Sus scrofa: one gene and its partners. The protein of the gene in region 2 interacts with the protein of the main gene of each other region in a biochemical or structural test. Links are inferred from orthologs where the notes say so. Each region holds a gene or a part of one and is shown on either strand. Other genes may lie near its edges.

The links. The genes of interacting proteins can lie anywhere in the genome.
Region 1: the proteins of MCM4 (region 2) and CCNA1 form a complex in vitro, tested with the Homo sapiens proteins (2 studies listed by BioGRID and IntAct, with this or other methods). The link is inferred for Sus scrofa from reciprocal best matches to the Homo sapiens genes MCM4 and CCNA1.
Region 3: of the proteins of MCM4 (region 2) and DBF4, one has a biochemical effect on the other in vitro, tested with the Homo sapiens proteins (2 studies listed by BioGRID). The link is inferred for Sus scrofa from reciprocal best matches to the Homo sapiens genes MCM4 and DBF4.

The regions. Positions count from the first base shown.
Region 1 is NC_010453.5:12,392,309-12,400,716, forward strand, and holds the start of CCNA1 (cyclin-A1), read left to right. Parts: upstream 1-3,840; 5' UTR 3,841-4,017; exon of another isoform or gene 4,018-4,181; intron 4,182-4,472; 5' UTR 4,473-4,496; coding exon 4,497-4,661; intron 4,662-7,515; coding exon 7,516-7,762; intron 7,763-7,948; coding exon 7,949-8,073; intron 8,074-8,408. UniProt on the Homo sapiens protein: May be involved in the control of the cell cycle at the G1/S (start) and G2/M (mitosis) transitions. May primarily function in the control of the germline meiotic cell cycle and additionally in the control of mitotic cell cycle in some somatic cells.
Region 2 is NC_010446.5:79,671,856-79,679,003, reverse strand, and holds the end of MCM4 (DNA replication licensing factor MCM4), read left to right. Parts: coding exon 1-133; intron 134-397; coding exon 398-525; intron 526-1,312; coding exon 1,313-1,520; intron 1,521-2,443; coding exon 2,444-2,672; intron 2,673-3,023; coding exon 3,024-3,157; intron 3,158-3,816; coding exon 3,817-3,909; 3' UTR 3,910-4,267; downstream 4,268-7,148. UniProt on the Homo sapiens protein: Acts as a component of the MCM2-7 complex (MCM complex) which is the replicative helicase essential for 'once per cell cycle' DNA replication initiation and elongation in eukaryotic cells.
Region 3 is NC_010451.4:92,477,389-92,485,857, reverse strand, and holds the start of DBF4 (protein DBF4 homolog A), read left to right. Parts: upstream 1-3,901; 5' UTR 3,902-4,019; exon of another isoform or gene 4,020-4,076; intron 4,077-4,088; exon of another isoform or gene 4,089-4,334; intron 4,335-4,477; exon of another isoform or gene 4,478-4,537; 5' UTR 4,538-4,757; coding exon 4,758-4,803; intron 4,804-5,992; coding exon 5,993-6,165; intron 6,166-8,469. UniProt on the Homo sapiens protein: Regulatory subunit for CDC7 which activates its kinase activity thereby playing a central role in DNA replication and cell proliferation. Required for progression of S phase.

The DNA.
Region 1 (8,408 bases), on a different chromosome or scaffold from region 2:
TGACTACCCTCATGTATGTATTCAAGCTATTTTCATTCACAGAAAGTGCCTTTAGAAATCTGAATGAAAACTTATTTCACCCGTCACCTACAAAGGACTCCACCTTGCAGCACCGGAGGATATATGATTCCTAAGGAGGGAAATTTTGGCTGCTTCTCAAACTGGACTCACTTGGTTCTTCAGTCACCTTCCCTGGAGCTATTTGTGACATTGTAATAACGTTGTAATGTCACAAATCACTCACTACCCCCAACATCTGTCCCTCATCTTATCACATAGCTGTATTCTATTTTTTTTTTTGTCTTTTTGTCTTTTTTGTTGTTGTTGTTTTGTTGTTGTTGTTGTTGTTGCTATTTCTTGGGCCGCTCCCGCGGCATATGGAGGTTCCCAGGCTAGGGGTTGAATCGGAGCTGTAGCCACCGGCCTACGCCAGAGCCACAGCAACGCGGGATCCGAGCCGCGTCTGCAACCTACACCACAGCTCACGGCAACGCCGGATCGTTAACCCACTGAGCAAGGGCAGGGACCGAACCCGCAACCTCATGGTTCCTAGTCGGATTCGTTAACCACTGCGCCACGACGGGAACTCCACATAGCTGTATTCTAAATGTAAATGTATACTGAGAACGGCAAAGGCATGACCATGCGCAGGCAAAATGTGTCCCTTAAAAGGACTTCTGTCCTTTAAAAACAAAACAAAACAAAACAAAACGAAACTGAATTTTCTACTTTTTCAGCCCTATGCTGAAAATCAACTTGATTTCATACCAATTAATGAAAACGTAAATGTCTGAACAGGAGGTTAATTACTAGCTACAATGAGCAAACGGAATAGAAGTAATAACAGCTTCTGAACCAGGTAATTGCTGGCAAACAGAAAAGATTCTCTTTGAATTGAAATTTGGATGGGGGAGGAGTCAGTTTTAATAAGACTTTTGGGTTTTAAAAACCCCTAGTAAAGAATTCAGCTGTTATCCTTATTATGAAAATTAATCTCAGCATCAAAACTAGCTAGGCACCAAATATCAGGAGAAGTGCTGATCAAGTAATTTAAGCTAAGAAAGTGTTATATTAGCATATAAGTTATACCCAGTATTTTAGACATCAAAGATGTATCTATAATAAGACGTACTGTTCGCTTCTCAATATATTAACAAATACTTTATGTAAAACATGCAGACATTGAAAGTCTACTCAGCTTTGAGTTCTAATCCTGAGTTTGCTCTAGCAGCAAAACTATGAATCTCACTAAAACTGCATAATTTGTGAGAAAGTCCTTTCTATTCTCTGCTTCTATTTTTTCTAATTATAAGGCCAGGTTTTCCCTGAAATTTTTAATAAAAAGCAAGCATCTATTTATTAGGTGAGTTTGTTTTTAGGACGTGAATCATTACTTGTTCAAATATTTAGTGAAGATCTTTTTTTAAAACTCAGGAAAGCCATAAGTATTGCACAAGTAATACAAATACCTGAATTTATATGTGCACACACATAAAGATACATAAATATCAGTTCACCTAAATCACTCTCCAATTTAAGATCTGACCAGAGGACTACAATGATTTAATACGGAATTTTATGGCAGCACAACAATACAATCATAGGCCATCTATCATTTCCTTTTGCCAAGTTGAACAAAGTGGATGGAGAGAGAAGATGGTAACATGTAATAACAATAATGACAATATCCGAATTAAGGCTGGATCAGGCTGCAGCTGTTCACATGAGGGAGGAAGGGGAAAATAGGTATGAAATTCTCCAAGGGTCCCATCTAGCTTAGAATTATCTTGGTGAGACTTGCTCCTGGTCCCTAACAGAGTTCACTGCTAAGGTATTCAACATCCTCAGAAATCACAAGTGTCCCCAAATGAGGGAGGGCTCTGGGGAAGACTTCCAAAAGGGGCACAAGGCGAGAACGAGGCAGAAAGGCTCTTTTTCTTCACCAGATAGCGGCAGCTTGCAAAGCCAGGCCCTTGGTGCCTACATCCATTACCACAAATTGCTGGAGCTCCCCTGTTGCCTTCATATTCAAAGGCCTAGGGATTTCAGGGTGCAAAGGGATTGCTGCTTGCCAGTGAATCAAAGTTGGTGGTAAACAGGTAGAAGCTAGTTTCATACTGAACAAAATCCTTTTCTGTGCCCCTTCTGCATCCATACCCATTTCCAAAAAGCTTCCCAACTTCCTCTTACATCTGATTTGAACAGTCACTTTCATACTCATTTTCAGTAGAATACTTCAATTTTCTCATTAAAGTAATGCATACACAGTTTGCTGGGTGAACACATTAAGATAGAACAGAGGAGTGGTTTTCTTGGGGGTAATATTAACAATTACTTCCATTCAAAATAAGGAAGGTGGTAACTAATCATTTCTTTCTTTCTTTTTTGCTTTTTAGGGCTGCACTAGCGGCATATGGAGGTTCCCAGGCTAGGGGTCGAATAGGAGCTGTAGCTGCAGGCCTATACCACAGCCACATCAGATTCAAGCCCCGTCTTCCATCTACACCAGCAGCTCATGGCAACGCTGGATCCTTAACCCAAAGAGCGGAGGCCAGGGATCAAACCGCAATTTCCTGGTTCCTAGTCGGATTCCTTTCCGCTGCACCACGAGGGGAACTTTGATAACTGATCAGCTAATCATTTCTTAAAATGCTCATTTAAATGGTTTTGGTGGTCTGCTTAGGGATGAGCATTTAAAAAAATAAAAGCAGACAAAAGCAGCAACGTTTTATATGCAATGTGTATATGTGTGTGCACACAGATACACACACATGTGCACACAAATATTTTCCAAAAAATCACAACGTTAAAGACTCTTTTACCTGCCTTGCCAGTTAACTTCTGCGGGTGGACCCCCATCCAAGGATTTTCCTCCCCACGTGGCGAGGCCACCTGCCCCGAACCCAGTTCCGAGCCTCATTACGTTCTCCCTCAACGTCCCAAGCCCCATCGCTGCCACCCGCGTTCCTTCCTCTTCCTGGGCCACTATCTCGGCGTTCCTGGACCCGCCTCAGGCCGTGACTGCCGGAACCCGCCAGGGAAGACCTCTCGTGGGGACTGTCCGCACCACGTGCGACCCTAAAACCCCAGATCTCCTCTCCCACCCTGCCGGGCCAAATGCACCAGAACCCGGGCCGACCAGGAGCAACCTCTGGTGCGCAAGGACTCAAAATGAGCGAGGACACGCCGCCACCACGGATTAGGAAGCCCCAGCCCAAACCAGGGGCCAACCCGCAGCTATGTGGCCTCTCTCTGGGAGAAGGTGTAGGTGTGTGGGCCAGCGAAGGGGATCTAGCCGCGCTCTGGGGCGGGCGCGGTCAAGGCGCCACGGCCTGCGCAGCCCCGAGGGCCCCGCGTCGCTCTCCCGAGCCAAGGTTCTCAGGAGCGGGCCGAGGAAAAGACGTTGGCGGGAGGAGTTAGTGGCTGTTGGGAGAACGGGTTCAAGGAAACAGTCCCTTCCAAACCCTGGCCATCGCGGGGTGGGCCTTCTTCCTCCCTGCCAGACCCGGGAGGCCAGCCAGAAAGGGCGCGGGTGCCCGCGGCGACCCGCTCGCCCGGGCACGCCCGGGCAGGGCAGCGCAGGAAGAGCCCGGGGCGGCTGCCGGTTGGTCCCTCCCAGCCCTGAACGCCCAGGGGTCGCGGTGCGTCCGCCCCGAGCGTGTCAGGTGAGGAGGTCGCCATAGCGATGCGACCCGGATCGCGCACGCCGGCCGCGGTTGGCATGGAAACGGCCCCCCCGTGAGGCCCGAGAGCGCCGCTGATTGGCCGATTCAACAGACGCGGGGGGCGGGGGAGTTGAAAATAATTAGAGCTGAGGAGCTGGCAGCCCAGGCTGAGATCCCGGCGCCAAGGCTGGAATCTATTAACACCTCGGTCCCCTTCCGCCTCGCCCCGCCCCGCCCCCGCCCCCTTAGGCTGCCCCTCATTCCCAATCCTGGTGTGCACTTGCCAATTGTTCGAGACATATATAAAGACATAAAGCTGAGACGAGCGAGGCCCGCTGTGGGCTTCAAGCAGGTTTTGGGGTCTTATGTCTTGCGGGAGGAGGGCCGCGGAAGAGCACGCTTCTTGTCACTTGGGAAGGGGATATATTTTCCCACAGTGATGTATCCTGGGTCGACTGCAGGCAGAGGGATGGTGGGGTGATGGATAAGTCTCATAGCCGGAAAAGACATAGACCTGTAGGTTTGGACTCCCAATTAACCTGGGGCTTAGTGTCCGGCCGTGGAGGTCTGCCTTCCTCCTTCCAGCCGTCAGCCTGGTTTGGGAAGAAAGCCTGGAGAGATTCAAATCCCTGTTTTGGTTCAAAGTAGCTTTGATCGCTTGCACCGTGGCTCAGGCCTTTTCAACCCTAATAACTGCAGTGAAGATCATATGTTTCAGTGCTCTCTCTTCTGGGGATTTGCTGCATTCTGGAGCCCGTGCTGGAAGAGGTTGACTAACCAGCATGTCTGTTTCTCCTTCCCTGATAGCAGTAGCCTGTGGAGACTGAGGCTATGCATCTCAGTAGCTCCAAGAGCGGGAGAGTGCTGGCTCCAGTGTCCGGAGGTCCTGATGCCTGTCAGATGATGTCCAGAGCCCAGCTCAGCCAGGATCCACCACAAAGAACAGTACTAGGGGTGCTAACCGAGAATGGGCAATACAGGAGGACCTGTGGCCAGGTAACGACTGAGAAGAGCTGGGACGGTTACCTGTTGAGAAGGGCTCTCATGTCATGGTGAGAGGTGGGTTTCTCTGGCAGTTTTACCTACAGACGTCCCCTGAGTATTTCAACCCTGGAATCTGGACTAGAGGGACCTTGATTTATTAAAGATTTCTTTCTTGGGTCCTTTTTCTAGCTAGAAATATTGAATACTTTTCTGTTATTTTTCCGATATCAAGGAAAGAAACCTAGGAACTGTTTAGAGTAAGTATGCGTAAAGTCATTTAAGTTCTGGGCTAAAAGGAAATGAGAATGCTCCAAAATAAACTGTGGAACTGGGGTTCCCACAGATTGGAGCGGTATCCACACTGATCTCGGCTGTGCCTGAGGCATCCTGGGTAACTTTTAAGTTCATTGGTGATGGTGTAGAATCAGGATTGGATCAGCCTATCCTAGATTACTTCAAAATGCGTGCTTTGAAAGTAGACTTCTCTCCAGGACTGACTAAGGACAGTTGGGCAAACAGCTCATGGGCCATCTGACATTAGTTGCTTGCACTTAACGGATCAGAGATACTTCCTTTAACTGATTGTAAACAAATTCAGAGACTTATAATGTAAAAGAGGAGTTTGGATCCTTAAGAATGAATTTTGAGATTAAACAAAAAAAATCTAAGTCTGTTATTAGACAAAGCTTCTCATAACCATGCCTTAAGTCTGTAGTGTACATATGTAGTGGAATGACATTGGCAACCATACAGTGACATAGGTGGGCAGGTGTTCTTTCCATTTTATATGTGAGCAAATTTGAGAGGTTTAAAAAAGACCAAAAAAGAAAAGAAATTCATGATGGAGACCAGATCAGAAGCCTCTCCTCATCTACAGACTATTCAAGTCATCTGTTTTGGTGACATCTGATTAGTGAGAGAAAAATACCCAAAGTAATGTTTCAAGCGTTGGAAAAAACAGAGTAAAGGTGGTTTTAACAAACTTAATGTGCTTAGTGGTGTTTACTTCTTTAAACTTGAAGTTGAAAACCTCTTACGAATTGGCAGTTACACCTACGCTGACTGAGCTCACTTTAAATTCACAACTGTCAATTAAGCTCTGTGTTGCCTGGCGATACCTCTACATTTCCCGACTCTATTCCTCTGCACCCTTCTTATAGAAACCTCCTATTTTATACATTCCCTTCTCTTTTTATCCTTGAAAGCCTCCATCTCCATCCTTACTCTCAGTTAATAACTATATCCTATTTTCCTAAAAATATAGATGTAACCGGAAGAGAATTTCCACATGGTCCCGTGTACCTACCATATACTCTGCCACCCCCTTCCCGCTACGTAACCCATGTGTCCCTGCTCTTATGCAAGGGGAACGCCCCGTGTGTGCAGCACACCTTATGCCCTTTTGCCTTTTTAAGGATATCATTCCATCACCTTGTCTTTCTCTTTTCCACTGGATCAAACCCAGAAGCATGAAAATATACTGTGATTTTTTTTTTTTTTCATTCCTAAAAACCTTGCAACTACAAAGCTCTTTGCAGCAACTGTCCCATTTATGGCAGTATTTCTTGAGGGTTTGTCTATGTAAATTCCATCAGGATGAGGGTTTGGGACATTGGGTTTACTGCTGTACTTCCAGTGTTTAGAACAGTGCCTGGCCAGGGTAGCATGCGAGGATTTATTGAACAAATACTGTGTCTCAGATTCTTCTCTTGTTCTCTTTGACTCAATTCTTAATCAGTTCTCAAGCCTTTCCTTACTTGACCAGTTGGCAGCATTTGACATTGTTGATCATTCTTCACTCCTTGAAATAGTTTCTTCTCACGCAGTCTGGAGAACAGGGCCTGGTTTCCAACCTAGCTCACTGGCTGTACCTCCTCGGTGGTCCTTCCTCATCCGCTCGCTAAAAGTTAGAGTGTGCCAGGGCTTCGTATTTGAGCTGAATCTCCACTCACTCCCATAGCAATCTCTTCCAGTCTCCTGGCATTAAATACCATCTCTCTGTTGATGACTCATTCTTTTAGCTCCTGTCTGGACCTCTTAGCCATGTTGCAGGCTTATACAGTCAGCTGCCTCTTTGATGTCTCCACTTACATCATATGGTAGGCATCTCAAACTTATGTGAAATCAAACGCCATCCCTGGTCTCAACCTGTTCTTCTCAGAGTCTGCCTCACTGCAGCAAATGGAATATCCACCTTTCCTGTTATTCAACCCTAAAACCTTGGTCATGCTTGACTCTTCTTCTCCCACCCCACATCTGATTTGCTGAGAAAATACTATTAGCTATACTTTTTACAGTCTCTAGAATCTCATTATGTCCTATAATAAGGTTCTATGGCTTGTAAGAGAATTTATGTATATACCTTTCTAAAATCATCACATCTCTAAATAATCAGATATAAATGGGAATTTTACAGAAGCTTGTTGACTAAAAGTTAACTATTTAAGGACAATAGGAACTCAGTAACTATGTGGCAGGAACCTTGCTGGGTTGGTATAAAAGCCTGTGATGCTATAAGCATGAAACTGATTTACATTTCCCCCCCCCCCGCCATATGTGGTACCTATTTCACTTCAGAGGAGAGCTATAGTTTTTCTTTTTTGTTCTATAATCTTGTGTTCTCTTTGATAAATACTGTGAGGAAGATGACAAATTTTAGGTAGCTCCTTTCCCAAATGTCAAATGTAGACAAATGGCAAAGTCATTCTTCAGCAGCTTCATTTTCTGAAGTTCAGTGGCTGACACAGATACTTCAATTTAAGATTCCTCTCATCTTCCCAGACTACCAGTTTGAATTGCACAAGTTCTTAACACCTATTTGGTCTATGGGATGGCCTCTAACAAAAAAACCTTAACCCTTTTCTAGGAGATCACAGCACTCAGGTGTTTCTCTGGATCCGAAAATGTCCTCCCTCCAGCCGGAAAGAAGGTGCTCTCTGACAGCGGGGTTCAGGCACCAGCCAAGCAAGGATTTGACATCTACATGGATGAGCCCGAGCAGGGGGACAGAGACAGCTGCGCAGGGAGAGAGGGGATGGCATTTGAGGATGCCTATGAAGTAGACACCAGCACATTCAAGTCAGACCTTCACTTCCTGTTGGACTTTAACACAGGTAATCTGACGCACCTATGGCTGACAGTACCCTGGGTTTGTAATCGCCGGCAGTGTTCACTAGCATATGGCAAGCAAAAGATAACCACCAAGTAGTAATGGTTTCCACAACTGCCTATGGAGGGTTAGTGGATGGAACTAGTTTTTAAATTAAATGTCTTACCTGACAATGTTGAACCCCCTGCAGTTTCCCCTATGCTGGTAGATTCATCTCTCTACTCCCAGTCTGAAGATGCATCAGATTTTGGTACAGATGTGATAAATGTGACTGAATATGCTGAAGAAATTCATCAGTACCTTAGAGAAGCTGAAGTGAGTCCTCCCAACTTCTCCTTCCATTCCCAGCACCCCAAGCACTTCATGTTGAGATAGGTATAAACTCTCGGCCATAACCACTAGTGAGTGGCATTCTTGTAACATGTAAACACTACGAACATGTATGAAAAATAATAGTTGGGAGGTGAATAGCAATTACTTGGACTATTTATCTAAGACTCAAAGGGTTAGTATATTAAGTATTTCACTCTTGAAATGAGCATTATCGCCCCCCTGCCCCGTTTAAGTTCCTTGTTAATGAATGACATTACAGAACCAGAATTTCGTACTTTCTTCCATATCATCATCGAGATTTATTTGGCTCTTGATTG
Region 2 (7,148 bases):
CGTGCTGCAGACGGGGGCCCTGGTCCTGAGTGACAATGGCATCTGCTGCATCGACGAGTTCGACAAGATGAACGAGAGCACGCGGTCGGTGCTGCACGAGGTCATGGAGCAGCAGACACTCTCCATCGCCAAGGTGACATACCGGGGCCTGGAGCTCAGGCTCTGGGTATTTTCCTGTCACTGTCCTCATAGAACTCAAGTTTGTCCTAAATGTTGTGCGAGGGGTCAGTTCCTGAGAAAGATGTGTTCAGAGCAAAAGCTGATCTGAAACAGCACAAATCTGACTCAGGGCGCTGTCCCTGGTGGTGAGGTCACTGTGCTAGGCCCTGTGGCTCGTGGTGACAGCAGGTCCCTGACAGAGGGACTAAGGCTTCTAACTGCACTGTACCTCTACTAGGCTGGGATCATCTGTCAGCTCAACGCCCGCACCTCCATCCTGGCAGCTGCAAACCCTATCGAGTCTCAGTGGAACCCGAAAAAAACCACCATTGAAAACATCCAGCTGCCCCACACACTGTTATCGAGGTATGGAAGTGTATTTTTATGGAAGATGGTTATGCTTTGCTCATTTAGAAAGGCTTGGGGGTGAGATGAAGAGAAGGAAATAGTTGAGTTCCCACTGTGGCACCGTGGGTTAAGGATCCAGCTTCTCCCTGTAAGTGGCACAGTGGCTTAGGGATCCGGCATTGCCACGCTATGGAGTAGGTCACAGCTGCAGGTCCGATTCGACCCTTGGCCTGGGAATTTCTGTGTGCCACGGGGGTGGCCGAAAGGAAGCACCAAGACAATGCGTGCCACCGTCATAAGCTGTTCACTGCAATGTAGATGTCTGCAGATCCGGTCGTCACGGGTTTTCAAGATGAGGACTGTGTGTTTCTCTGCTCCCCTGAAGTAGGCTTGTGTTTTCACCTTGGCCCTTGCAGAAGCCTGTCTCTGTGGGCACGGGGTCCTACAGCCGCTGTAGGGTCAGCAGCAAAGTGCAGAGAGCAGCTTCGTGTGGTAGAAAAGGTTCTGAAAATGTAGCTGGTGGAAAAGGAGTCACGTAGCCCACACTTTTCTCAGACATAGGTGTATTTCATAAGCAGATTTTAGATTTCGATGGCTCAACTCTTTTAACAAATGGTTCCTTTCCCCTGGAACTGTTGAATTATTTCCATTTGCATCTTCAGTCTTCAGAACTGTCACGGTGTTTCCCGACTCAGGAGCCTCTGGTGCCTGAGAGCTGCAGGGAGCATGCGCTCAAGGTGTGCACCTGGGCATCCCTGCAGGTGCACTGCTGTCTCCACAGGGAACCTTGACCATGTCTTCTCAGGTTTGACCTCATCTTCCTCATGCTGGACCCCCAGGACGAAGCCTATGACCGGCGTCTGGCGCACCACCTGGTGTCCCTGTACTACCAAAGCGAGGAGCAGGCGCAGGAGGAGGTCATGGACATGGCAGTGCTCAGGGACTACATCGCCTATGCACACAGCACCGTCCTGCCCCGGCTGAGCCAGGACGCCAGCCAGGCGCTCATCGAGGTACCAGGTCCGCTCGAGGCTGCCTAAGGCCCGAGCACTGTGGGCGCTATGCAGCCTCTGAAGCAGCCAGTGTTTGGGCAAGAGCAACAGACGCTCTTCTGCAACTACTTTCCCTCCTGTGTTGCATAACTGACTTTTCCAAATGTCGAAAGGGGAAAGGATTCATTTCTACATGTTAAGCACTTTTTTTCTATTTAAATACTTGTAAACATGGTATCCTTAAGACCTGAGCCAAAATAGAGGTGGTGCTACTTAGTTTTGTAACTCTGGTCTTCATCTACTTGTTTTTATGTTCACTTTTCAGCAACTTTTACATGGGCAGCACTGCATGAAGACACACATCAGGTTATTCACACATGATACTAAGGAAGTTCCTGATGTTTTGTTGGGCTGCTTTTTTTTTCAGCCATACTTGCAGTATGCGGAAGTTTCCAGGGCAGGATCAAACCCACACCACAGCAATGACGATACTAGACCACTGTAGAACTCCTTTTTCTGTTTGTTGGGGATTTTTATTCGCTCTTGATGGGCTTTACATCCTGACACAGGCCCCAAAAAATGCTCTGATGAGAGTTACACCTGATAGGCAACTGCCCATCTATATCATCTCGATGGAATTTGTCATCCATACGTGCATTTAAACAGTTGACCTCATTGCACGTTAGCCCAGTAACCCTTGGCTGCTGTGTAAACAGGCCAGATGGGTTCCTGATACAGCCCATCCTCTGAGCACCAGGCCCCTGTGTGTCCTGGGCAGACCCCTCGGCCCTAACAGTTTGAGGCCCGAGCTGGACCTGGCTCTTGCCCCCCTCTTGGTCTGCACAGAGAGGTGGGTAGGGGTTTGGTTTGCTTCTGGGGAGCCCAAGCAACCAGGGTTCAGACGTCATCATGCAAGAAGTGGCAGCTTGTCTGTGTGTTCGCAGGCTTATGTGGACATGAGGAAGATTGGCAGCAGCCGAGGGATGGTGTCCGCGTACCCCCGGCAGCTGGAGTCACTGATCCGTCTAGCCGAAGCCCACGCCAAAGTGCGCTTTTCAAACAAGGTAGAGGCAGTTGACGTGGAGGAGGCGAAGCGCCTGCACCGGGAGGCCCTAAAGCAGTCTGCGACCGACCCTCGGACCGGCATTGTGGACATTTCCATCCTGACCACAGGTGCGCTGCACGGGCACCGTGTCCCTCCCCAGACTGGTGGGGGTTGTGAGAGACAGACATGCCCACGCAGCAGTGTCTGACTGCAGAGGGCTTCGTGCTGTCCAGCATCCTGGGCGAGGGCAGCTCTGCTTCTATGCGGACGGCCTGGGCTGCTCAGTGGAAAGTCACAGCTTTGTGCTTATAGAAAATGGGAAGCAATTCAGAACTTGTTCTGACTTTGAGTGTATTCTGGCACTCAGCCACCATCCCCTAACCTTTTTTGGTGACGTGACTAAAGAAACATTAATAGAAATTTAAAACATTTTCACTTTGTTATAGCAGAAATGTCTTCATTAATTTCTTTTAAATCAGGAATGAGTGCCACTTCTCGTAAGCGGAAAGAAGAGTTAGCTGAAGCATTGAAAAAGCTTATTTTATCCAAGGGCAAAACACCAGCCTTGAAATATCAGCAACTTTTTGAAGATATTCGGGGACAGTCTGACATAGTAAGTGTTAATGTGTATATTTTGTTTAATAGAGTTTTCTTTTCCTTTGATGCTGCTTTAAAGTTTTTTTTTCCTGCATCTACCGTTGAAGTAATAACCGTGGATATAGACAAAAGAGAATCACCATCAGGGAACAACTGCAATGAGAATTTTGTTGGGTTTTCCGTTTCTATATGAATGTGGACACGTGGCCTTTGAACCTTATCAGTTTCCGTTTTTGTCACTCACTATTTTTCTTTTTCATCCGTGATACACTCTTAGCATCATCTGTGACGGTGAATAACCTCATAACATATTCAGAGTGTTTGTATATTTTTGCTGTTACACTGTTACTGTCACACATCTTAATAACTATCAAATCTATGTGAGGTAATAAGTTTGTTTGGGAGATAAAACACTTGGATTCCCTTTTGTGAACAAGGGAGGCTGAGCTGTTCACAGAAAGACCTCTGGTCGGATGCCCTCCTCGCCTGCTTTTGTGACACTCTTCTTGGCCCCACAAGGCAGAGCTAAGTGGCTACGCAGAGCAGAGCCTCTCAGCAGGGAATGTTTGCCTCCTGAGTGGGAGCAGGAGACAGTGTGCAGCTGCCAAGAAAGGAGATGCCGCAGTGACAAGGGGCTCCACATACACAACTTCTTTTTCTCTTCTCTCCCTGAAGGCAATTACCAGGGACATGTTTGAAGAAGCACTACGTGCCCTGGCCGATGACGACTTCCTGACGGTGACTGGCAAGACAGTGCGCTTGCTCTGAAGCCCGTGAGCAGCCTTGGGGAGAGCCTCGGGGTCGTTACGGGCTCCTTAGATGTTCAGTTTACTAGAGAGGTGCCGTGCAGAGTAAAGAGCACACGGTGGAGAGTATCTTCCTGTGTCCTCAAGTCCTGCTTCTGAGCACTAGGGCTGGACCATGTACAGACCACAGGAGGCAGCCAGGTGGGTGTTGGCCTTGTGCTGGATCTGTGATGGTGCCTGGAGGGTTCCTGTCCTTGCTGAGTCCTGGCTTGTTCCTTTGGCTACTATGAGGCTGGAAACAGCCCAATGTCTGGTCACTTTCTATTATTTCATCCTAATATGTATCAAACATTTTCCTCAATAAATGATAGAATAAATAATACTTGGTTATCTGGCATTATTTTTCATTACAAAAAAAAGCTTTAATAAACATGGAAATTCATGATGGTGAGTACTTTATCTAAATCATAAAAGAACTAAAATGGAATAAATTTCATTTTATTCAAAAATTACCTCATTCCTAGCAGTCATTCTCCTAAAACCACCATAGGCTAAAATCTTGGGTGGAAATGCTGCTGTGGTAAGTAACCCCTGCAACACAGAAGTCACTGGAGTTTGACAAAGGCTTTGATTGTTTTTTGGCTATACCCTCAACACATGGAAGTTCCCAGGCCAGGGATCAAACCTACACCATAGCAATGACCCAAGCCTCCATAGTGACAGTGTTGGATCCCTAACCTGCTGCAAAGGAGATCTGAATTGGCCTTTTTTTGGGGGGAGGTGCTTTTTAGGGCTGCACCTGTGGCATGTGGAGGTTCCCAGGCTAGGGGTCAAATCAAAGCTACAGCTGCCGGCCTACACCACAGCCACAGCAACGCAGGATCCGAGCTGCGTCTGCAACCTACACTACATCTCACAGCAACACCAGATCTTTAACTGACTGGGCGAGGCCAGGGATCGAACCCACAACCTCATGGTTCCTAGTTGTATTCGTTTCTGCTTCGCCAACACCAGATCTTTTAACTGGCTGAGCGAGGCCAGGGATCGAACCCACAACCTCATGGTTCCTAGTTGTATTCGTTTCTGCTTCGCCACAACGGGAACTCTCATGAATTGGCCTTTTTTATTTAGAATCAACATTCATTAGTAAAGTGTTCATAGAAAATTTTTTTTTCCTTTTGTCATTTCTAAGGCTGCTCACATGGAGGTTCCCAGGCTAGGGGTCTAATTGGAGCTGTAGCCACCGGCCTACGCCAGAGCCACAGCAACTCGGGATCCAAGCCGCGTCTGCAACCTACACTACAGCTCACAGCAACGCTGGGTCCTTAACCCACTGAGCAAGGCCAGGAGGGATCGAACCCACAACCTCATGGTTCCTAGTCGGATTCGCTAACCACTGAGCCACGACAGGAACTCCAAAAATGATTTAATTGAGTGTTTAAACAGCATTAAAATGTTAGTGTGGGTTAAATTTGGTCTCCGTGCGTCCTACTTCTTTCAGTGCCTCCTACTTAGAGGCCATGGTTGGGCTGGGGCAAAGGCCTGGAGCTTTCAGCTCTAGGACCAAGCTTGGCCTTCCAGCTCAGTTCAGTGTGTTTGGATGCTGCTCAAGGTCCAGTCAGGTGGGAAAGTGAGCCCCACCATGCCCGAGTCAGAAGTCTTGAGTCCACGTGTCTCCAGGTGGCTGGTTCTCAGGCCACTGACCAGTTGTGGGGGGCACACCCGTCTCTTGGGACCCAATGAGCAGGGCCACAGCAAGAGCTGCTTTGCCCAAAATTGTCTTTTTTTCTTTTTTCTTTTTTTGGCACAGAGGTGAAAAGCACCACGTCCTAACCAATAGGCCACCAGGGAACTCACTAAATTGTATAAAGTCATCGGAAGTCCTTACACAATTATAAGCTAATTAAAAACCACTGCTACCACCAGGTTCTGGAGCTGATTCCTTTACACAGATTTTTTGGGATTTTTTTGGCCAGGGATTGAATCCAGGCCACAACAGTGACAATGCCCAATCCTTAACCCACTGCACCACTGGAGAATTCCTCCTTTACACAGGTTGTAGACCTGATATGGAAATAAGACAGGGGTTTCCACCAAATGATTCTCAGCCTGCAGAACGGCTGAAACACTGGAAGTTCCAGAACATGTGCTCAGTACCCAGAGCCCCTTGGGAAATAGTGCACCCTGAGGATGTCGACGGAGGTCCTTCCCCCCGCAAGTATACCCTAGAGATATTTTTCCTGAACCTTGTCATTCAACACCAAGATGGAAGTTACTTAACAGCTGCAACTGAAGTTTGGTTCTCGGGGAATGTGAGCTGAATGAATATAATGAGGGTTCCATCCTCGTGTGATGGCTCAATGCTCGTGGGTTCTGAAAGCAGGGAGGGGCTCACCCTCAGTGCAGTGCAGGGACAGGTGCCTGTGAGGTGTTTGTCCCAAAATGGGGCGGGGGGGGGGGAAGCATGCAACATCCATAAGAGGCCATCCTTAAAGGCAGGAAGTCCAGGATTAGAGCTCTGCCCACCCAAGTCCTGAGCTGCCCCCTCAGGGGAGCCTCCCAACAGCTGGAGCCGCCTTACCCCCGAGCAGAAAGGTCAGCCTCATCCCCATGGTCCAAGGTAGTTTCTGAGCACAGGTGTGGCTGCCCAGGCTGGGACCTGAGGACTCAGGCACCTGGTCAGTGAACAGGAAAGGAGAATGTAGGTTCTTCTCACTACAATACAGTTCAGCTTAATTCCTACAAATATTTTTTAAATGTTACAATATAATGTAATTGCATTTCAATTTTTTCCTCTAACTTTGACCCTGAAAGATACCAGACCTGCTAGATGGAACAGCTTTGATTTACACACACAAAGTCACTGTCCTTCCATCATTCGTCATAAATAACAAACTCCACCCAAGGAATCAAAAGTCAGCAAGATTGAAGAGACCCAGAACTTAATGACTCTTTACATGGGGTTAGGTTTGCATGTTTAGTTTGAGAAAAAACTGTTACTTATTAAATCTAAGGTTATTTATTTTTAAAAGGCTGCAATTTAATTTTTTATTTATTTTTTGTCTTTTTTTTAGGGCCGAACCTGTGGCATATGGAGGTTCCCAGGCTAGGGGTCCAATCGGAGCTGTAGCCACCGGCCTATGCCACAGCCACAGCAATGCCAGATCTGAGCCGTGTCTGCAACCTATACCACAGCTCACAGCAACAGTGGGTCCTTAACCCACTGAGCAAGGCCAGGAGGGATCGAACCCACAACCTCAT
Region 3 (8,469 bases), on a different chromosome or scaffold from region 2:
CCTAGCCTGGGAACCTCAATAGCCGCGGGTGTGGCCCTAAAAGGTAGAAAAAAAAAAGTCATCAATCTGCATCCTTAAAATGGGTGCACTTTATTGTATGTGGATTATTACAAATATTATAAAAATTTTTAATTTACATAATGAGACGTCTATGGGGGTCTTAGGATAAACCAATTTCACTGGGCCTAGCACACTGTAGATGTTCAATCAATACAGAAGGAAAGAAAGAAGTGGGATAGGTAGGTAGACTACAGTCATGGCCAAATACATATTTTGTAATATCCTAAAGGAATTTGCAATCTATTTCAAAACATAATACAACCTCTAGACCAACTCATTATGCTTAACTGCTCCTGCAGGTGCCACAACAGCCTCTGAATTATACTGTCTCAGAGTGAGCCACTCTCAAATTTTGAATTCTGCGTAGCTTATTCTCCATTTTTCACCCTTCACTTAGGTTGTGGTCCAGGACTCAATATGTTTATTGTTCCTTGGTTTCCCAGCCTATCCTAACCTGAGGCATGGACTTCAAGGCCATAGCCACTATCCTTTCATAAGCTTAGCCTGGAAAACTAAAAACTAACCTCAGAAAAACCTTAGGCCCTCCAATTCACCAAGGTAGTGAGACTCTAAAACATGAAAATTAACTAATAAAAATAGCAAAAGAACACATTTCAGGAGATAATATATCAATAAATTACTGGGATATTACTGAAGGCCCCAAATAAGGAGATAAAAGGTTGAATCTAAGTCAGGCTTGCTATGAAAAAGAAAGAGGAGCAACCTCCAGCCAGCCAGGTAGAGAGGCTTAAGAAAAAGAAGAAAGGGAAGTGGTATTACAGAAGAATGATTAAATCCATTTGTCTACACTCTAGAATAAAAATGTATATTTGGGAGTTCCCGTTGTGGTGCAGCAGAAACAAATCTGACTAGGAACCATGAGGTTGCAGATTCCATCCCTGGCCTCACTCAGTGGGTTAAGGATCCGGCATTGCCATGAGCTGTGGTGTAGGTCCCAGATGCAGCTCGGATCTGGCATTGCTGTGGCTATGGTGGAGGCCGGCAGCTGTAGCTCCTATTAGACCCCTAGCTTGGGAACCTCCACATACCACAGGTGCAGCCCTAAAAAGCAAAAATAATAAGATAAAAATAAATTAAAAATGTATATTTGTATATATATGAGGTAGTCTGAAAAAACAAATTAGAGCCTCATTTGATAATCACAAAAAGGTGTGGGGTAGACAGGGCACATATTACTTCCATTTATAGATGAGGAAATTGTAGTAGAGCAGGTTAGTATTTTCCCAAGGTCATAAAATTACCTAGGATTAGAGCCAGTACTGAATGAAATTCATTTTCTCTTGATTCAGAGCCAAATGTTTTATTTAATTAGACCATGATTCTCTTCAATGGTCTGCAACTTTGCTTGAGAGAACTTTACCCAACTTTTCACAAGTAACACTGCCCCATTTCTTTTTGAATGTATACCTTTCATGTGAAGCTTATCAAGATGTACTAACATAAACCTCATTACCAACAGTCCTGATTATTTACATGATAGTAAGGAGTCCACTAAGGAGACTTATGTTAACAGGCCACAGATATATGACCATGTCCCTCTTCTGGTGGCTACTAAAAGATCTGAGTTTCATTCCCGGCTTTTTTTGGGGGCGGGGGGCACCTGCAGCATGCATAAGTTCCAGGGCCAGGTAGGGATCAAACCAGCACCACAGCAGTGACAACACCAGATCCTTAACTAGCTGAGCCACCAGGAAATTCGTTGAGTTTCAATACCGTTTCTTTTTTTTTAGGGCCACACCTGCAGCATTCAGAACTTCCCAGGCTAGGGGCTGAACCAGAGCTGCAGCTGCCAGCCTACACCACAGCCACGCCAGATCTGAGCCACATCCTGGACTTACACGGCAGTCTGCAGCAACGCTGGATCCTTAACCCTCTGAGCTAGGCCAGGGATGGAACTTGCATCCTCATGGGTACTAAACAGGTTCTTAACCCACTGAGCCACAAAGACAACTCCCAAAAATAATTTTTTTAAATGTCCTTAGGTTACAGATCAGACATTTTTTAACACTGTCCAGTAAAAACAGACTTTCTGCTTATTCACAGCTTGACATTATCACTTACAGTGCAGTCAAGGGTGTGTCTAAAAGCCTAGGATGACAATATGTTACTGTTCTTCCTCAATACAGTAAATAAGAAAGGTACCTCATCTTTCCCTGGAACATAAAATAGACTCCCTGTTTTTCTTTTCTTCAACAGAAACATGTATAAATCTTTCCCATATCCCCCAAACCTCCCCAAGACCCTATTGTCCCTTCCTATAAATTCCCTACAGGGACAAATTTTTTAGTAATATATTCAACCTGTCTCCACTTCAAGCCCATCATTTTTATATAGTACTTACCTTAGCCATCTACTGAAACTGTCACTAAGTAACCAAAAAACATCTTCATCACCAGAATCCAAGCCCTATTTTTCCAGTCTTAGCCTTTTGGAACTCTGAAGACGGAGAGGCTGATAACAGGAGTTCAACAAAACGACAGCACTTGCCAGCTCTCACTCTATCAGGCACTGCACTAATAATTAGCTCTCAAAAGAGTTTCAATTAATTCTCAGAACACCTGGAAGTGTTTATTACCCTCTTTTCACAAATTAAAATCTAGATCAAAATTACCCAAAGCCATATAGTTAGTAAAGCCTGTCAATCCCAATGTTTTTAACTATGTGACATTTGAAGACTGGTTCCCAGTTCTAACTCTGTGGCCTTTTCTCCATCTCTTTCTCTATTTCCTCATCCTCTGCTCATCACTACTTCTCCTATTTCACATGCTCTCCAGGGCAATTTCATTTTCTCCCATGACTTTAACTGCATTCTATATTAGGTGTTTCTCAATCTTTTAAAACTTCTTGTGAACATATAAATCTTGTGCTCTTTTTGTAGCCTACATTTTGAAAACAGATTTTATTTCCCAAAAAGAAATTCTAATGGAAATATGTTTGTTCAAACTATACCTCCTCCAAGATCTGATAACCTTTTACATATCACCCTATGACTGAGAATCAGTGATTGGTCTGTACCATGTCTCTCAAATCAATCTATATTCCCTTTCTGTGCCACCACCATCACTCCCTCCAGAACATCTCCCCTGAATTATAGACAAATATTACCAAGCGTCTAATAAAGACAGTTCCACACCTGTCTCCTCAAGCCCCTCAAACTAAAACCATCACTGCAAAACTCTAATTTCCCTTAGCAAACCTGGACCACCTCTCTGTGCTCTCCATTTTGACTAACGGTATTACAATTTACCCTTATCTTTGCTTTAAACTACCTATTTGTGAAACGGTGATATCGGCACTAACTTCCCCGAGCTACTGAGTTAAAAATCAATCATTAAACAATAAGTGACCACCGAGGCCAGGAGGTAAGAAAAGCAAAACAGCACAAGATTTAACCCTTTTTACTCTTTAAGAAGTTTAAGAGCAGAAACACCAAAATTCATTTTGTATGTGTAAGCGCTCTCCCACTTAGAAAATTAATTTACTTCTCAAAACATTCAAATTTATTCTTTACTACAAGTCCCGGATGAAAAAACTGAGTCTCAAAGGGATTAGGTAATTAAACCCAAGTTTTACAGGCTAATCGGTGGTTGGTCCAGACCCCAAATCGTAGACTTGAGATTTCGAATTCCCCTTTCGTTCTGTTATTGCTGAAATAAACTTCTACCCAATAAGACGAAAACAACAGAGTGCACAGCAGAGGTTAACTGAGCGGTGCACACAAGCATCAAAAGGCACAAAGCGCCCCGGACGCGCTCCAGGCCGGGGCCTTCAGGCCCAACCCTCGCTCCGACGCCCCCCCCAAACCCGCCGCCGCTCTCTGCCGGGAGAGTCCCTTTGCGGCCTGCCTCCAGCCAGCGGGGCGACCGCGGGAAAACTACGCTCTGCGACTCTGGGCGAGCCGAACAGAGTCTGTCGCTGCCAACCTGCCCGGCCTAAAGGTGAGTCCTGGCTCGGCCGCAGCCGCCGCGCTTCCAGCCCTCCGGACAGGTCGAGGAAAACTAGCGTACCTGAGGGAGGAGGCGGCTGCAGTGCAGGCGGTCCCAGCAACCTCAAAAGGCGGGAATGACGCTGAGGGCAGGGTGGGCCGGCCTTTGGTGCTAACTGCATTCACTACGTTTGGTCAACTCCGAGCCACAGGGACTGTACAAAAAAGCATAGGGACAAGAAGCAGCAGGAACCAACCGCGAAGATGAGGCTGAGAAAGCATCGCAGTGGGGGAGGGGAGCGGGTGGAGACGCGGCCCGTGGGGGCGGGGCGCACGGCGGGAGGAGGCGGGGCGTGAGGGGTGGGGCGCGCAGCGCGAAGAGGCGGGCACGCAGGGGTCCAGCGCGACGCGAGGGGGCGGGCACGTGGGGGCGAGCGCGAGGCGGGGCGAGGCGTGCCGCGTGAGAGGGGGCGGGGCGCGCGTATCGGCGCCGCGTCGCGTGACGCGTTTTCAAATCTTCAACCGCCGCAGCCCACTCGTTGTGCTTCACCTTTTCCTGCTCCGCGCCCTGGGGTTAAGTTCGGCCCCGGAAACCCGGCGGATAGACGCGGCCTCTCTCCTTCGTGGGTGTGGTGGCCCGCGGAAGAGGAGAAGCGAGCGGCCGGTCAACGGGCCTCGAGGAGCTGTGTTTCCGCGGCCACCCGGCGCGACACCCTCCCCGGACCCAGCATGTAGGTACCGGCGAGTTGCCATGAACTCCGGAGCCATGAGGATCCACAGCAGAGGACATTTCCAGGGTATGAAGCCCCTCCTCCGCCCGCAGTCCCTTTAATCCTTTCCTCCCCTCCTGGTTCCATTATTAATTCTTGAGATTTCTCGCGCTGAGTCTGCTGCTTTCCTATTCTGACATGTTCCTTCTGCTCTGAGGCCTGAAGGAAGGCTCGGTTTAAGGTTTTGCCTCAGAAAGTGAGTGGATCCCGGCCCTGCTCTCGCGCCCTCAGCGTTCCAGCTTCAACCGCAGATTCCCAGTGGTGCCTTCGGTTGTGAAATCTGAAGACAATGTGCGAACCCGGGAACTCTCCGGGGCTCCCACAGACGCTGCGACCGTTTGAGGCTGTAGCTAGAGTCTCTTTAAAAGCAGATGTGCTGAGGGCTTTTCGCTTCAGGATTAAATTGGGTGATTGTGGGTGTAGATTTTTGGTTTTACTCATAAAGTGGAGGGAAAGTATTTGTATTTCAAACACACCATTGTTGTTTTCAAAATAGAAACAAAGGTAAATTTTCATTTTTCGATCACTTTTATTTGGTAAAGGATTCCAGCCTTTAAGTTTTCCTTTTAGATGTATAGTGTATATGTATATTTACTGTGGTCTTCTACTTATGAGCAGATTGAGTCCTTAATTTTTTAAACAGTTGTTTGGATCTCAAATTTGTTTTCAAAAGAATGAAATGAATGGTGATTTAGTTCTTCAAATGGACCATTTAGTTCTTAATATGTACAGTAACTCTGACTGAAACTAAACCTTGAGCAGATAGAAACTAGAGGATTGGGTCATTCTGGGTAACAGGTTTCTTGCATTATTTGATGTTCAACATGTTAAGTACCAGTTTTGAGTGTTCAACAGAATGGCAGAAGCTCCTTGAGTATTTGGTAAGTACTCCACGGAGTTTACATCCTAAGATGTAATTGGTTTCATATAGTTCCCTGCCTTAACGCATAAAACATGAATAAACACGTATTTCCTGCAAATCTAACTACTGACTGTAAGCAGTAATTATTTTGTGACATAGTGTTTGTTAAAATATATAGGGTATTTTGCCTTTATTCTGTGTGGTACTACAAAATGTTAATGACTGCTAAATTAGTGAAATTATAAAGATTTTTCCCTCTATATAGTATGATTATTATATAAACGAATATTTTCAAAACAGTAGAAATTTCATCTACATAAAACATCATCTGATTCTAAATTTTTTAAACAACAGGTGGAATCCAGGTTAAAAATGAGAAAAACCGACCATCTTTGAAATCTCTGAAAACTGATAACAAACCAGAAAAATCCAAATATAAGCCACTCTGGGGAAAAGTGTTTTATATTGACTTACCTTCTGGTGCCCTGTCTGAAAAACTGCAAAAGGACATTAAGGATCTAGGAGGGGTAAGTCAAAACCATACACTTTTGACGAAAAAAGAAAACTTTGTAACTAGTACTTTCTAATATGTAATCATTTAAATTTTTCTTTTTGGAAAACTTACAACCACATAAACACTAAGCTTAAAATTTCTATCAGCTGTTGATCATAAATGATAAAATTTTCAGGTTTCTGTGATTATTAGTCTGGTGTAAAGTTCACAAAGAGTGAGATTGTCTTCTGGTTGTCTTGTTGGGATATCCTCCAGATGGAAGGAGCTTCTTGATTATGATTGGGAAGCTACATAAAAGAATGTTATTTACAGAACATGGAAAACTGTTCAAACCACAAAGACTTAAAATTCCTCTTGAATGATAAAGTCTCAGTAGAATGAATGTCATTAAGAAAACAATTTTGGATTATAAGTTATTATAAATTATAAATATGGAAAACCTGCTTCTTTCTTACCTTATACATGGAGTAAATGGTTAGCAAATTAGAAAATTTGGGTTAAATTCTAAGATTTTCTTAGAATTAAAGTTAATATGGGGTAAATTTTAGTGAGGTTAAGATTATATTTCCTACTTCAGAGGTTTCTGCTGTGCTTTGAATTTGTGCTAGTTAACATCTTTGAATAATATGAGCAGATCCTGCCATGACTGGAATTTGCAGACCATGTAACAAGTGTTTTGTAATTGTTTATTGATGTGATATTTTACTTCATCTTGGAAGAGCTACTTTTTTGCTATTCATTTTTTAAAACTAAACATTGTCACACATTTGTCATAATAGTTAAGTACTTAAGTATCCAGAGAAGTTAAGTGACTGGTCCAGGGTAGAATTAGCCTAATTTCCTGACTCACACACATGTACTGTGCTATTCTGATCTAGCAATCAATGGCTACAAACTACCTATCATCTGATGTAGTTTAACAGCTTTCTGTTAAATATGATGGAAAAATTCATAAACCCTTCTGATCTAAAACAGTAATTTTAGATTTGTTTTTAGCAATAGAACCCTTCTAACAAAACATGTTCAGAAGTCCAAAGTACATAGCCAGTAAAAGGAAACTGCTCTAACTAAAACAGCAGTGTAATAGCTAGTACAGGGACTCCCTGCCCTGCCCACCTTTTTTTCTCTCTCCTCTTTCCCATAGCAGTTCCTGAGGCAAGAAATTTTGAGTTAACTTACGCATTAGATAATAATTTAGAGACAGTTTGAAAGCTGGTTTCATATACTTCAAGTTTTTATCCTAAAAAAGTTTGAAGTGGACCAGTGAAGTGAGGAGCATGTTAATGGCAATAAGTGTCCAAATTTTTCCCCAAAGCTGTGGATTTTTTTAACTTTATGACTTAATTTCTCCTAAAAATTTTTATTATCAAATTCTTACCTCCCCACACATGCAGACACAGATGCAGCTCGGATCTAGCATTACTGTGGCTGTGGCTTAGGCCGGCTACTACAGCTTCAATCTGACCATTAGCCTGGGAACCTCCATATGCCACTTGTGCGGCCCTCAAAAGACAAAAAAATCTGTTAAAACTCCTCTGTGTCCCATTGTCTATTCAGACCTCAGCAAACATTTGTTTACCAATTTATTTTCCCATCTCCATGTCAATTGCCTTCCTCTTCGTTGATGTCTACCCCCGCCAACATCCTCTTCTGTCTTTAGCTGCATACAGCATTTAAGGCAAGGGCTTAAGCTATTTTGTTGAACTACGCAGTTTTCCTGGGTCTCCCCCATTTGTATACATGTTATTAAAGGTTTGTTTGATTTTTTTTTTTTTTTTAAAGGATCAAGGAGCTCCCTGGTGGAGTAGTGGGTTAAGGATCCAGTGTTGTTCCTGTTGTGGCTTGGGTCGCTGCTATAGTGCCAGTTCAATTCCTGGCCTGGGAACTTGCACATGCCACAGGAACAGCCAAAAAAAACCAAAACATAGATCGAGATCTAAACGTAAGAGCTAAAACCCATAGAGGAAAATAAAAGAAATTTTCTTTTTTTTTTTTTGCTTTTTAGCAGCATATGGAACTTCCCAGGCTAGGGGTCCAATCAGAGCTGCAGTTGCTACAGCTTCCAGCCTACACCACAGTAATGCAGGATCTGAGCCGTGTCTGCCATCTACACCACAGTTCACAGAAATGCCAGATCTTTAACCCACTGAGCGAGGCTAGGGATTGAACCCACAACCTCATGGTTCCTAGTTGGATTCATTTCCACTGAGTCACAATGGGAACTCCAAAAGGAGAAATTTTCATGACATATTTGGCATGGATTCCTTGGCTATGACACCAAAAGCACAGACAACAAATGAAAAAGATATGTTAGACT